Linked DNA regions of Tamandua tetradactyla. The protein of the gene in region 2 interacts with the protein of the main gene of each other region in a pairwise test. Links are inferred from orthologs where the notes say so. Each region holds a gene or a part of one and is shown on either strand. Other genes may lie near its edges.

What was found.
Region 1: the proteins of MID2 (region 2) and CCDC120 interact in binary tests that used the Homo sapiens proteins (3 or more experiments, as listed by UniProt). The link is inferred for Tamandua tetradactyla from reciprocal best matches to the Homo sapiens genes MID2 and CCDC120.

Annotation. Positions count from the first base shown.
Region 1 is NC_135353.1:121,100,617-121,108,655, forward strand, and holds the start of CCDC120 (coiled-coil domain-containing protein 120), read right to left. Parts: upstream 3,024-8,039; 5' UTR 2,699-3,023; intron 1,371-2,698; exon of another isoform or gene 1-1,370. UniProt on the Homo sapiens protein: Centriolar protein required for centriole subdistal appendage assembly and microtubule anchoring in interphase cells. Together with CCDC68, cooperate with subdistal appendage components ODF2, NIN and CEP170 for hierarchical subdistal appendage assembly.
Region 2 is NC_135353.1:63,688,273-63,696,209, forward strand, and holds the start of MID2 (putative E3 ubiquitin-protein ligase MID2), read right to left. Parts: upstream 3,101-7,937; 5' UTR 2,927-3,100; coding exon 2,923-2,926; intron 1-2,922. UniProt on the Homo sapiens protein: E3 ubiquitin ligase that plays a role in microtubule stabilization. Mediates the 'Lys-48'-linked polyubiquitination of LRRK2 to drive its localization to microtubules and its proteasomal degradation in neurons.

The DNA.
Region 1 (8,039 bases), about 57 Mb from region 2:
CAAACATCCCTTCCTATGTAGAACTTAGGAACCAAACAGATACATCCAGATACGATTTTTGAGACAGAACTAGTATCCCTCAGCTCAATAAATGTGAAACAGAGCTGTTTTCCCTCAGATAATTTGTCCCAATTCTCACTAACCAAAATCAGAAACTGAATGGATTCAGATACAGTCTTGGGACAAAGCTAGTATCCCTTAGCCTCCAAACCCTCCATATTTGCTACCCAGACACAGAACCCTTCCTACTGGCCAAGCCAGATACATTTGAAACAGCCGATTTCTCTCATTATCTGACCTCTCCCTATTAAATTATCGAAAAAGCAGCAATTGAATATGTTCAGACAACTTGTTTGCTCTGAACTCTCACTACCCCAAGTCAGGAGCGAATGGATTTACATATATTTTGGAGAAAGAGCTGTTATCCCTCACTCCCTGAACCTTCCTTACTCACCAGGCAAAAGGCAGCAATGAAATATATTTACACAACACGGTACTTCTCACTCTTCAACTCTTGTCACCGGAATTCAGGAAAGTGAATAGATTTGAATATACTTTTGAGTTAGAGCCTCATTATCTGAGCTCTCTCTACTCACCAGGTAAAATGAGGAAACTCAAATACTTTAGACAACATGGCATCATTCATGTCTGAACTATCAGAACTCTCCCTCTCAGAATTCAGGTACCAAATAGTCTGGGAGAGTGAGGGATGCTTGTGTTGTTATTATTAATGGGTTTAGATAAATGAGCTGGGTCTGGTATCCCTCACTTTTCAAACTCTCGCCACTTTCTATGAGAAACACAGAAAAAAAACATAATTGAATAAGACATTCCCCCCAAATTCTCCCTACCCATCCTCAGAATTCAGAAGATTCAGACAGTGACGGATCCTATTGTTGCTGCTGTTGTATTGTTCCTTCTGCATCAGCCTGATTCTAACATCCAGTGAACTCCCGGCCCCACCGTCCCAGACCTGCCCCACAGAGGTGGGGTGGACTTAGCATGAAGATTTTTGTTGTTTACTGCCAAGAGAGGGGGATAAATTCCTGCCCTAATCCTACCCACTCCAAGCCTGGAAGCCTGTAACTTAAAATGGACTTTTTTTTTTTCAGGCCAGTAAGGCAGGGATCGCACACACACCTAGAATCAAGACCAAGGGCTTGAGCAGTTACACGACCAGGAAGACACACATAACCCCAGGTTCATCTTTTACCAACCCCCTCTGACGTGGGGCAGTCCCCAACTTAGCAAGCCTGGAAACATAACCTGGACCGTGCAGACTCCCAGAGAGCCACTGAATAATTTAGGGTGTTCTTTTGCACTTGGGGAGGGCAGGGGGCGTAAGAACAGTTCCATGCCCTCCTGGAACAGAGAGAAAAATGCAAGCTCTGTGTGAGATCACTGGGGTGGGGGTGGGGGTGGGGGTGGGAGGAATCACATACAAAAAACCCTATCAGCCACACTGGCCCTACAAGGCTGTTTGTTTCAGGGAGCTGTGGGTCATGGGGGAGGCAGGGAGAGAATGCCATTCCCCCTCTTGCTAAGAGAAGCATCTGGGATATACCTCAGAGGTCCTAGGAACCGAGGAATCCCCAAGTTCAGGGGCAGGGTATAATGGGATCCCTGCCCTTCTGGGTTCAGAGGGTATGGGAAGGAGGGAGCAGGGTGGAGGGGCATAGTAAGGGGTAGATAATAGGGTCCGGGGTTGTGACAGGATATAGGGACAGGACAGGAAGGTGTGTAGGGGACAAGGCAGAATCAGAGTCATCATAGGACAGAGGTCAGGAGGCAGGCCTGGGAATGAGAAGGACACTGGCCAGGGGATAGGATAGAATGAAGTTCAGGACAGGGGTAAGAGAAAAATCACAAGGGGAGAAAACACCAGGACAGGGCTCCAGGTCTGTGTACAACCTTAGTCAGAAGACTTGATGCGGGACAGGTGAAGACAGTGGTCATAGAAGGGGCTAGGGAAAGGGGCAGGTTCAGGACGGAGGTCAAGAACAGGAAAAGACCAGGGCAGAATGAGGAAAGGAGTAAAGATGGTGATGAAACAAGAGAGGACTGGGAAAATCAGGACAGGATTGGGGGAAGGGACTGACAGGACAGGAGACATTCCAAAGGTGGTAAACCAGCTATTAGGGGAGGGGCCAGGGGGACGGTACAGGGTGGGGAGAAAGCACAGAAGTCAGAGGTCAGGAGTCAGGATACAGCAGAAGCAGACTGAGGTCAGGGGGGTAGAACATGCCCAGAGGGGGTTAGAGACCTGGACAGGGGGTTAGGGAAGAGACAACAGAAACTGAGGTGGATGTTGGGCATCAGGACAAGGCCAGACGAGCTTCAGAGATGAGACAGGGTCACACAAAGACCCGGGTTCAGGCCCAGGATCCCAAGGACAGAACTGGGGTTTGGGGTCAGTGCTAGAGGGTTAAGGGGGAAAAAAAAAAAAAAAAAACAGGTACAAATGATCAAAGCAGGCCAGAACATGGTTAGGTCAGCGATCAGGGCTGGGGTTCTGGGGCCAAGGGTGGCCGAGTTCGAGGTTAGGAAAAGAAATAGCCAGGTCAGGGCATGGGTCAGGAGTGAGGCCACCAGGTCAGAGGTCGCGGGGTGCGCGCCCAGGTACGTCCACCGTCGGTATTTCCAGGCCCTCACCCCGCCCTGTCCCTCCCCTGCCGCCCGGGACCGGGTTATGACTCACCGAGCGTCCTCGCACCGCGACGTCAGCGGGGTCGTGTCAGCCGGGAGGGGTAGTGGGTGCGCCCTTCCCTCGCCGAGCTCCGATCTTACCCGGGCGCGCGCCTATTCCCCTTCCGCGCCCTGCCCGTGGACCGCGTGCCGCCGCGAGACCGTTAGGCGTGGGGGCCAGACGGGGGACGCGAGAAGGGTGGGAGAGAGGCGCCAGACTCCGCGCTGCGGGTGGGGAAGCCCCGCTTGCCACCCTTCAGTTAAGTCTGTGGGCTTCGGCGGCACCACCGCCTCAGCCGCTGAGCGCGAGCCCCGGGAAGAAGGGGGAGGGGGCGGGGCGCAAGACCACAGCCGCGATGGGGCCCAAGTGCGCAAGCGCGAGCTCCGGACTTCAATTTTCCTGCCCTGGGAGCGCCCAGAGCGAACGAGCTGGAAGCGCGTGCGCACGCGCCTTCTCGAGGGCAGCCGCGCCAGCTAAGGAACAGGGCCTAACAGTGCGCGCCCCTGGAGCGCTCTCGTTCCCGGCCCGGGTCCCGCCCCCACCGAGGCCACGCCCCCTCAATGCCCAAACTGGGGCCCCTAACCCCAGGTCACCCTGCCCTCAAACAGCCCCTATAACAGACTTCTAAAACGCTCCCAACTACCCACCATGTCATCCCCAAATGCACCCCCAAACCACCCTCCAGTGACCGCCAAGCTATGCCCAAACCACACTATATTGACCCCAAGCTATATCCCTAAATTGTCCTCCATGGACATCAACATTGCACCCGAATTAATTATCAATGAATCCCCAAACCACACTCCATCAACCCCCAAATCACTACCCATTTGCCTCTGAATTTCAGCCTCAAACCACCATTCATTGCCCCCCCCCCCATTGACCCGCAAGCAGTACCTCCAATCTACCCTCCATGGACATCCAAGCTTCACCCATAAACTACCCTCACTACCTAAGTTGTTCCCCCAAACCATGCTCCATCAACCCTGAAATCATCCAACATTAACCTCCAACAGTAGTTCCAAACTACCCCCATCTATCCCCAATATATGCACCCAAAAACATGCTTCATTATCCCCAAAACCACCTCCCATGTACTCTCCAAACTACCATCCATTGCTCCCCAAGTCACTCACCAAGAGTCCCCAACATCACCCCAAACACTCAACTATCTGCAGTGTGGCCCTCACCTGCCATTCAAATCACTATCCAACAGTAACCTATGATACCTCCAAACCATGCTCCGTGGACCCCCAAACCACCCTCCATTGACCTCTCTTAATTACCTTCCAACAGCCCCCATTACTATCTCAAATACTCCCAACTACTCTTAGGTGTGATCCCAACTGCACTTCAAACCAGCCTCCAACACTCCCTGCACCTCCAAACCACAGTCCACAGACTTAAACTTCACTCCAAACCACTCTCCAACAGTCCCCAATTATACGTCCAAATAGCTATCAACAACGTTGCTGTAGTTATCCAATGAACCCCCAAATCATACTCCAGTGGCCCCAAATGTGTCCCCCAAACCCTCCAATGATTTTTTTAAAATATTTTTATTGAGAAATCTTCACACACATGCACTCCATTCATGCTGTACAATCAATGGCTCACGATGTCATTCATAGTTATGTATTCATCACCATGATCATTTTTTAGAACATTTGCATTACTCCAGAAAAAGAAGAGAGAAAAAACTCATACACACTATATCCCTTACCTCTCCCTCTCATTGACCACTAGTATTTTCATCTACCCAATTTATTTTACCCTTTGTCCCCCTATTATTTATTTATTTATTATCCATATTTTTTTTACTCATCTCTCCATACCCTGGATAAAAGGAGCATCAGACACAAGGTTTTCACAATCCCACCATCACATTGTAAAAGATATATCTTTATGTACAATCACTGCAAGCTAGGGTCTATAGTCAATAAAAACATTGTAATATGCTTCCACTCAATGTAATGAAGACATTATGCCAAAACTAAATGTCAACGGGGGGGGGGGTATGGATTTTTTGTGGAAGAAAAGGAAATGTCTTCATGTAGATTATGGTGGCAAAGGTATGTCTGTACACTTAGGTTGGATTGCATGATGTGTGAATAAAACTGTTTAAAAATGAACAGAGAGAAATAAGTGCTAGAGAAAATGTGGTGAAAGAGATGTACCTATTCACTGTTGGTAGAGAAACTAGAGGTGCAGCCTCTTGGAGGGCAGTGTGGTGGTTCCATAGGAGGCTAGGGGTGAGTTTCCATATGATCCTGCAACCCCGTTACTCAGTATATACCTGGAGAAACTGAGAGTGGGGACACAAATGGGCATTTGCACACTGGTGTTTATGGCAGCAGTGTTCCAGATCCACAATGAATGCAGGTGGCTAGAGGGTAGAACGACTGAGGAATGGAAGGGGGAACTATGGCGTATACATACAACAGACTACTGAGCAGTGGCAAGAAGGAATGAAGTTGTTAGGCATGCAACTAGGTAAATGAACCTTAAGGACTGTATGTTGAATGAAATATCAGAAACAAAAAAACAAATATTGTCAAGCCTCATTCATATGGACTAACTATAATGTAAAAACTTGGTGAACTGAAGTCGGGAGCATGGGTTATCAGGTTGGGGCCTATTGTAAAGGATCCTACATTGTAAGCTCTTACAGCAGTCACATATATTCATGAGTTGTAACTGTTAATTTTAAATTCTGAGATACTGAGCTGTTTGTTTATGACCTGGTCATTTCCAGAAATTTCAGGTATTTATGTGACAGCTGAGACTAAGAGTTAGAGCTCTGAAGCTATGAAAGTCAGCATTACCCCATATAGGAACTGTTTAAAAAATTGAAAAAATGATTAGACATCAAGTAGAGATATGAATGAAACTGATCTGGATAGGACTAAGGAATATTAGAAGACTGGGTAAAGGACGATATCATCCAGATTTAAAAATTTCAACTCCCTGAGTGAGACTGAAGTGAGAAATGATGATTTGGTGCAAAATTTATATTTTGGGTGTGCATTTCCTAATTTAACTTGCATGGTCAGTTTAGTTGAACACCATAAGTACATGGAATCTTGAATAAGGCATGAGATTGTGTTGGCTTGTCCAGATTAGTGTGATGTCCTGATAAATACCAAAGTGATTTGGACAGTTAATAAAGAAGTATTTGCTAAGCCCCCTTGGGGGAATGGGGAGAAAGGGGGAAATATTCACGTTCCCCATTTGGAGAATTTCTGATATTCTCGCAAGCAGTGGGGACAACCAAATCAATAGGCCAAGCCCTCAATCTTGGGGTTCGCCCCTATGAAACTTATCCCTGCTAAGGAAAGGCTAAGCCTACTTAAGATTAGGTCTAACAGTCACGCAGAGAACCTCTTTTGTTGCCCAGATGTGGCCTCTCTCTCTAAGTTGACATGGCAAGCTAACTCACTGCCCTTACCCACTATATGGGACATGACTCCCAGGGGTATAAATCTCCCTGGCCATGTGGGACAGAAATCCCGGGATGAGACAGGACCCAGCATCACGGGTTGATAAAACCTTCTTGACCAAAAGAGGGAAGAGAAAAGTGAGAAAAAATAAAGTCTCAGTGGCTGAGAGATTTCACGCAGTTAAGAGGTTATCCTGGAGATTATTCTTAGGCATTATATAGATATCCCTTTTTAGTTTATGGTGTACTGGAGTGGCTAGAGGAAAGTACCTGAAACTGTAGAGCTATGTTCTAGTAGCCATGTTTCTTGAAGATGATTATATAACAACATAGCTTTTACAATGTGACTGATTGTGAAAATCTTGTGTCTGATGCTCCTTTTATCTACAGTATGGACAGATGAGTAAAAAATGTGGATAAAAAATAAACAAATAATAGGAGGAACAAAGGTTAAAATAAATTGGTTAGATGCAAATATCAGTGGTCAATGACAGGGATGGAACGTATGAGGGTTTTTTCTCTTTTTCTGGAGTGATGCAAATGTTCAAAAAATGATCATGGTGATGAATACACAACTGTGTGATGATAATGTGAGCTATTGATCGTACACCATTCATAGAATGTTCGTATGTCAAGAATGTTTGTATGTTTGTTTGTTGTGTACAATAAAAATATTTTTTTAAAGAAGAATCAAGGCTACTGGAACACAGCTCTAGAGTTTCAGGTGCTTCCCTCTAGCTACTCCAATACACCATAAATTTAAAAGGGGATATCTATATAATGTATAAAAATGGCCTGTAGGAGACTCAGCATCAAGGGACTGAGAAAAACCCTAGAATGAGCTGAGAATTAACATCAAGGGATTGAGAGAACCTTCTCGACCAAAGGGGGAAGAGTGAAATAATACTAAATGTCAGTGGCTGAGAGATTCCAAACAGAGTCGAGAGGTTATCCTGGAGGTTATTCTTATGCATTAAGTAGATATCACCTTGTTGTTCAAGATGTAGTGGAGAGGCTGGAGAGAACTGCCTGAAAAGGTAGAGCTGTGTTCCAGTAGCCATGTTTCTTGATGATGATTGAACAGTGATATAGCTTTCACAATGAGACTCTGTGAATGTGAAAACCTTGTGTCTGATGCTCCTTTTAGCTACTATATCAGCAGAAGAGTAGAACATATGAAATAAAAATAAATAATAGGGGGAACAAATGTTAAAATAAATTTAGTTTGAAATGTTAGTGTTAAATGAAAGCGAGGGGTAAGGGGTATGGTATGTATAATCTTTTTTTCTCTATTGTTTTATTTCTTTTTCTGTTGTCTTTTTATTTCTTTTTCTAAATCGATGCGAATGTTCTAAGAAATGATGAATATGCAACTATGTGATGATATTAAGAATTACTGATTGTATATGTAGAATGGATTGATATCTTAATGTTTTGTTTGTTCATTTTTTTTTAATCAATAAGAAAAAAATAGCCTGCAGGATAACCTCTCAAATCCAAACTCTCTCAGCCACTAAAACTTTATTTTGTCTCATTTCTCTCTTCCCATTTTGGTTAAGAAGGCTTTCTCAATCCCTTGACGCCAGGTCCTGGTTCATCCCAGGATTTTTGTCCCACGTTGCCAGGGAGATTTACACTGCTGGAAGTTATGTCCCACATAGGAGGGAGGGCAGTGAGTTCACCTACCAAATTGGCTTAGAGAGGCCACATCTGAGCAACAAAAGAGATTCTCTGGGCCGCCAATGATTTTAAACTGCACCCAAACCATACTTCAGTGATCCAAATATATCCCAAAACACCCTCCCATGATCTTTTCCTAATATAACTTCATTGACATATAATTTATATATCATAAAATCCACCTATTTTAAGTGTGCAATTCAATGATTTTAGTAAATTTAACAAGTTGTCAAC
Region 2 (7,937 bases):
TCTGTGCCTCAACCTTATCTTCACCTCTATTTTTTTTAAACATGGGCAGGTACCAGAATGGCAGGCGAAAACCCTGCCACTGGGCCACCGTTGCCCTCTTCACCTCTTTTTAAAAGCTCTGTGTCCCTTTTGGGAAAGAGGAAACTGGAGCACAGAGGGATGGGGTGAAAAGATGACATTCTCTCCTCTCTACCAAGCCAGTGAGGTTTGCTGAGTGGTAAAGACATACTCCTTCTGTAGTTTCCTTCTCAATTGTTATAGCGTCAGCAGATTTTATGGGAGGAGGGATGAGAGAATGAACAGGCTCACTACCCAGAGCAATTTTTGGAGACAATTATGAGACTCCACCAGCTCTGTGTTAGGATCTGCAAGTCAGAGCAAGTTGCCCTTCACTTAGAGGAGGGATTAACTAAACCAATTTCATTTAAATCAATTTGTACTGTTCAGATGATATGTTCATGAAACAACCAAGTCATTGATTTGTGGCAACACTTCCCAGAGGAGGCCTTGCAAGGTACAATATAATAGATGAGAATTCTAGTAGTCATGGAAGTAAATGGGAAGGAAACAATCACCCCTTCATATGGCTAGCCTCTACCCCTACCCTCCATAGTTCCTCCCTTTCCCAATCCTGGAGCTGCAAGTATGAAAGTAGGCCTCAAATAAGCAAGAAGCCAAAACATTGGGCCAAGCCTGGGGCCTCAGTGCAATCAGCACAGGACTCTGCACATTGTAGGTGCTTAATAAATATTGACTCACTGTTGCTAGATACTAACTTATATAGCCATGTCTAAAATTACTTATGCCATTTTTTTTCAGCAGAATTTAAGATAACTTAAAATAATCACCATTACTCTGTACACCTAGTTTTAGTTTTCATTCAGTTGTATGCTTACTGAAAAAAAAAAACAGACTTAAACATAACTACAATCAGAGATTTGGCTCTCAGGGTAGCTGCTATGACAAGCTAAAGTTTCCAGTAAACTAGAGTTTCTGATATTCCTAGTCAATCCACCATTCCAATACAAGGTAAATGAAGTACTTTCTTTGAAAAGTATAATGTTGAGGGTTTATAGAAACCTTTCATCTTCAAAGGACCAAGTCAAGACTCACAATACCCCAGCACACAACTTTATGCCTTTTACACAAGTGCACCGACTATGAAAGAAAGGTCATAGGAATGCCCTAAAGCCATAAGGTCAATGCAACATCAGATTTGGGATGAATTCTCTGATATACTTGGCTCCTAGGCCTGTATTTCAACCACATAAATCAACTTGTGAAGAACAATCAGGAGAAGCCTAATTCATATTATATATCTCTGTTAATGCCAGAGACCCAGGTTCAATCCCTGGAGCCTGTCCAGGCCAAAAAAAAATAGAAAATAAAAATGAAAAAATATATCTCTGTTAAGTGATTGGTCAGGAATACATATATATATATATATATATATATATATATATATATATATCTTTTATATATATATAATAAAATAGCAAAAGTTCTTCCCTCCTCAGAACAGTGATAAGTGAAGAGCAAGTGGAAAGGGGGATATAGTGTTGGGAGAGGTACCCAGCTGGAGTGGAGCAGCAGTGCTTTCAGGGCAGAAAAGAAGTAGGGAGAGGGATTTCCAATTCAGACACCACCACCCCCTTCTATTGGAGCATTGCCAGAGAACTGATTAGAGAACTAGAAGAGGACTCTGTGGGGTTAAAGGCAGCCCTCATGGGTCCAATTTGAGAATCAGACGAATATCAACCAACACACAGCACTTGTCTATTTACACAGCTTCCAATATATTTCTTTTTTAAGGGTCTCTCCCTTTTGTTTTAACCTCAGAAACATAAAACCGTTACTACCCCAACGTCAGAAATACTGAAAATGGCAAAGAGATTGAGAAGCAAAAGGCTGCACAGCTGGGAGGTTACTAGAGTGCACAGGTTGATGGGGAAAGGCTGAGGGGTGGGGTGGGAGCATATGGGAGATTTGAAGTGGGTGGGTAGATGTGCGACAACGTGGAAAGAAGGTGAGTGAGCGTGGTGGGTAGGGGAGTGTGGAAGAGGGAAAGCGAACAACCCAGCGACCATAGAATCCCAATTTCCTGCTCTGAGAAGAAATGCCTCCGAAAAATAATTTCGCGCTGCACACGAAGGGCTAAGTAACCTAAACCTTATCATCAACAAATAATGTTTCTGTAAATCTACTCCACCGCTATTTACTTAATTCTTAGGAGACAGGAATGTTAAAACCCCACGTCTCCCCAGTCAGTCGCAGTCTGTCTTGCGGACATATGTAAGTTTTTCCTCTCCCCGGTAAAGCTGGTTTCACAGCTAGGCCAGAAATAATTAGCCACCCATACAGAGACTAGATGATTGCTCCTCTGGCAGAAGAGGGATTAAGTTTCGCCGGGCCTTCCCACCACCAGGATGTCCTCAGCATTTCGGACTGCTGCGGCAGCCACCGCGGGGCAACCAGCTGTCTGAGGGACGCCGCCGGGGCCGAGGAGGCTGCAGACAGCGGGAGCGTGGGAAGGCGGCTCTGCCCTTTCCCAGACTCGCGCCCAGGCGCCGGAGGCTGCGGGATGGCGGGGTGGGGGCGCTTCACTGCCCGCTCCGGGCCGATCCGGCTGCGCGGGAGGCCTCGGGCCGCCCCCACCCGCACCCGGGAGTGCAAACTCCAGTCCCAGGAGAGCAAGGGCAGGAGCCTGGGCCCCAGCGGTGCAACGGAGAGTCAGGGCCGGGCCGGGGCCGCGCCGCTGCCGTGAGCCTCGCGGGCCGGGTCACCCCGCCCCGCCGAGCATCCGAGCCCTCAGCCCGGGCCGGGCCGGGCCACCGCGGCACCTGAGGCGCGCCAAGAGCCCGGGAGCTCTGCGCAGGCGGCGGCGCTCCACCCCTGGGGCCGCGGCGAGGGGGCGCATTTTACCCATAGCTTTGCCAGGTGCCAGCCATCTCCTCGGCGCCACTGAGGGCGCTCGGCGCTCGCCTCCCTCCGCAGCGAGCTGGCTCCGGCTTCGGCCCAAGTCCCTGGCCGCTGCCGCCACTGCTCTAGGCCGCCGCCCGCCTTCGCCGCCTTCGCCAATGCCGCCGCCGCTGCCGCGCAGCAGCCGAGATCCGCCCGCCCCGCGCGCCCCGCCCGTGACAGCACGGCGGCCGCGACGCTGCAGCGGTTGGGTCTCCCAAGCCAAAGTTAAAGAGTTTTCGCCCCCTCAGCCCACAGGCAGCACCATGACACCACGGCAGCACCACACTGTCATTTCCGCCGCCGCAGAGGGAAAAAAAAAGGCAATCCCTTCGAAAAGGGGGGTAGAGTGCGGGCAAACAGGGTTGGGCTGACGCCCGGAGGGAGGTCTGGGAAGAACCTGGCAGGAGGGCCGCTCAGCCACCTTCCCGGGCTCACCTTCCTCCGCCCCTGCCGCTCCCAGCTTCCCCAGCCCCTCCTCTGGAGGCACGTTTACATGTTTTCTCCCCTGGCAGGAGTGACCGGAGAAACCTGAGCAAGGAAAGGCAGCGGGGTGGGTGGGGTTCGGGTTACTACTGTACCTACCAGCTGATTCCAGCAGCCTTTTCTCCAGCGCCCTGTCATCTTGAAGGAAGACACACCGAGAGGGGCCCAAGCAGGCGCGTGTGCGTGTGTGTGTGTGTGTGTGTGTGTGTGTGTGTGTGTGTGTGTGTATGAGAGAGAGAGAGAGAGAGAGAGAAAGCGCAGAATGTGTGAGGAATATAAAAAGAAGACTATGGCCAAACTCTTCTCCTACCCACCACCACCCTGGACCCACAAACACCCAGATCAGAACAAGAAAAAGGATGTTGCAATAGGCATTAAGAAGAAAGTGCCTGGGTCCAACCGCATAGGTTCTCGGGTGAAGCCACCCTTTGCAAAGTTAACTATAGAGTAAAACAAAAATAGTGGAGGAGACAGAAAAGGGCAGACAATTGAAGGAAACCCAACCCCTCTTTCTTTTTACAAAGGGAGAATGGCTGTTTTATTGGCCTTGGGCAGAAGTTGTGGGGATGGATTAAAGAAAGCCACCAGAGCAAATAAAATAAAGTAGGGTTGCTTTTTGTTTGTGAGTGTTTTTTTTTTTGCACCTTCAAATCCTTGACCATCAAAACAAGAGTTTACAAGGGGACAGATGCCAGCTCTTCAAGTATTCAATATCCTTGATAAGCTAATTGGCCCACCTGGAAGCCAGGGCATCCCGTTGGTCTGGAGTCAGATTCTCTACTATCATTGGCTCAGCTGCCTCACTCACGGCATAGATGGAAGAGGGAAAGAGTAGGAGGCCACAAAAAACTTGGTCTTAACATGGGAGAAAATGGAGAAAGAAAGGAGCAAATGAGAGTTAATATGCACAAACACACACACACACAGAGACTTCTCATTACTATGCATGGGAACAAGTCCAGAAAAATTAACTTAGCTCTGGGTGTATCCATCACGGAACCAATAGTAATCAGCCAACACCCCTGTTAAACAATGTACTAGAGAGTACTGAGGTGGAAACAAGACAAAAATCACAGCCAAGCTATCCTGATGAAAGTCTGGCCCAAGAGAAGTAAAAGTTGAGTCAGACTAAAGCAAAAAATGCTTACTTGGTACAAAATTTATATTTTGACTACTGCAGTTCCTAATATAACTTATGTGAACAACTTAATTGAACACCATAAGTACATAGAACCTTGAGTAGGGCATAAGATTTTGTAGGTTTGTCCAGAGTGATGCCCCAATAAATCCCAGAGTGATTTGAACACTGAGTAAAAAGTATTTTCAAAGTCCCCTTGGAGGAATGGTGAGAAAGGAGGAAAATTCAACTTCCCCAAGTGGAGAGTTCTTGATATTCTCACAAGCAGTGGGGAAAACCAAAGCAATAGGCTGAGCCCCCAATCTTGGGGTTTGTTCATATGAAACTTAACCCCAAATAGGAAAAGCCAAGCCTACTTAAAATTAGGCCTAAGAGTCACCCTCAAGAAAACCTCTTTCGTTGGTCAGATGTGGCCTCTCTCTCCAGTCAACATAACAAGCAAACTCACGGCCCTTCCCTTGGCTACATGGGACATGACTCCCAGGGGTGTGGACCTTCTTGGCAACGTGGGGCAGAAATCCTAAAATGAGCGGAGACTCAGCATCAAGGGATTGAGAAAACCTTCTTGACCAAAAAGGGGGAAGAGTGAAATGAGACAAAATAAAGTGTCAATGGCTGAGAGATTCCAAACAGAGTCTATGCATTAAATAGATATCACCTTGTTAGTCAAGATGTAATGGAGAGGCTGGAGGGAACTGCCTGAAAATGTAGAGTTGTGTTCCAGTAGCCATGTTTCTTGAAGATGATTGTATAATGATATAGCTTTCACAATGTGACTGTGTGATTGTGAAAACCTTGTGTCTGATGCTCCTTTTATCTACCTTATCAACAGATAAGTAAAATATACAGAATAAAAATGAATAATTTTTATTTTCATTAGGGGGAACAAATGTTAAAATAAATTTAGCAGATTGAAATGCTAGTGATCAATGATATAGCTTTCACAATGTGACTGTGTGATTGTGAAAACCTTGTGTCTGATGCTCCTTTTATCTACCTTATCAACAGATGAGTAAAACATATGGAATAAAAATAAATAATAGGGGGAACAAATGTTAAAATAAGTTTAGATTGAAATGCTAGTGATCAGTGAAAAGGAGGGGTAAGGGGTATGGTATGTATGAATTTTTTCTGTTGTCTTTTTATTTCTTTTTCTGAATCAATGTAAATGTTCTAAGAAATGATCATGATGATGAATATGCAACTATGTGATGATACTGTGAATTATGAATATATATTTTAAATGGAATGATCATAAGTTAAGAATGTTTGTGTTTCTTTGTTATATATTTTTAAAAACTTAAAAATTAATAAAAGATTTTTAAAAAGAATGTGTTTGTTTCTTGTTATATATATGTTTATATTTGTGTTCTAGTTTGCTAGCTGCCAGAATGCAATATACCAGAAATGGGATGGCTTTTTAAAAAGGGGAATTTAAAAAGTTACAAGTTTACAGTTCTGAGGCCATGAAAATGCCCCAATTAAAGCAAGTCTATAGACATGTCCAATCCAAGGCATCCAGGGAAAGATACCTTGATTCAAAAAGGCCAATGAAATTCAGGGTTTCTCTCTCAAATGGAAGGGGATATGGCAAACATGGTCATGGTTTCTCTCCCATCTGGAAAGGCACATGGCAAGCATGGCATCATCTGCTAGCTTCCTCCGCAGGTTTCCTGGTTCATGAAGCTCCCCATGAGGCATTTTTCTTCTTCATCTCCAAAAGTTGCTGGCTGGTGGACTCTCTGCTTTGTGGTTCTGTGGTATTTTGCTGTGGCTTTCCTGTGGCTGTCATCATTCTCTGCTCTCTCAGAATCTCCTCTTTTATAGGATTCCAGTAAATTACTCAAGACCCACATAGAATGGGTGGAGACACATCTCCATCTAATCAAGTTTAATACCCACAGTTGATTGAGTTACATCTCCATGGAGATGACCTAATCAAGTTTCCAACCTATAGTACTGAATAGGGATTAGAAGAAACCATTGTTCTCACAAGATTGATTAGGATTAAGACATGGCTTTTCTAGGGTACATAAATCCTTTCAAATCTGCACAATATGTATATATAAAACAATCTCTGAGATACTGTTAAATGAAAAAAGGAAAGTGCAGATCTATGCATGGTTTGCTACTAGTGTAAAAAGAAAGGGGGGTAGATATGTCCCTGTATACTTGTATATGCATAGACTCTTCTACAAAGGTACTTAAGAAACTGAATGACTGGTTGCCTGGGGGATCAAGCATAGGAGGGAGAAATACTTTACATTATATATGTCCTTTTGTATTGTTTGAATTTTTTTATACTGTGCATGTATTACCTTTTCAAAAAATTAAATAGAAGAAGGAGATATATAGAACAAATACAGATTATCCTATCTATGCAAAAATATTCTTATATGTGCAGGTAAATGCATAGAAAATAACCTGGGGGCACACTATAAACAGTGTGAGCCTGGAATTGGGGTGGGTGTTGAGAGGTCTTTCACTTTTTATTCAATATATTTTGTAACCATTTGAATATTCTACAATAAGAATTTATTCATGTATCCCTTTTGTAGTTTTTTTAAAATCAAGAAAAAGGTATTTCTCAAAAAAAAATGTTGAACCCAAAGTTGAGTCAGAAGTCAATTGATTCCTGTGAATTATTTTTCAACCTCATTTGATCTGATCTCCCACAGAAAGGTGGTGAATTTTCTAAAATATAAAGAAGTTACAGCTTTTCTTATGGACAATACTCACCACCACAGCCACCACTCCCCTCCATATACACACACAAGAAAGCTAGATAGCTCCTGGCAGAACTGGTAGTAGAGAAGATTTGCTTTTAATGGCTTTTATTGTCCTATAGAAACCACCCTACCCCTCACTTTTTAGCAGTCTCCCCTCCATCTGGGCTTCCACTGCTTTCAAGCAAGTCTCGGCTTACCAGAGCTCTATACTGATACCCTAACTCCATCTACTTTCCCCAGGCAACAATCTATATTCGGAACCTTTCCTTTCCCTCTTCAAAATTTACCTGCTTCTGTGTCCCTTTCACACAGGATCTTACTAAGTGGTTAAGCAATTCAATCAACTAATGTGAACTAAGATGCTTATAGTTCATTCATTCCCCCTTAGAAAATATTCAGATTTTAACAGAGGCCTTCAATGTAGTAAATCAAAGGAATGACTAATAGTATAGGGGGGGTGGAAGGGGGTGGGGAGGTTTTGCTAATCACATCACATAAGCCGCTGCTTTGAAAATATCCCCACTTTCAGTGGTTTTATGAAAATTACACACTGTAAACTTATTAAAGTAAATGTTTTGTATCTGGCAGGAGATGCAAAATTGGCTGGGAGTACGTGGAAAAATTAT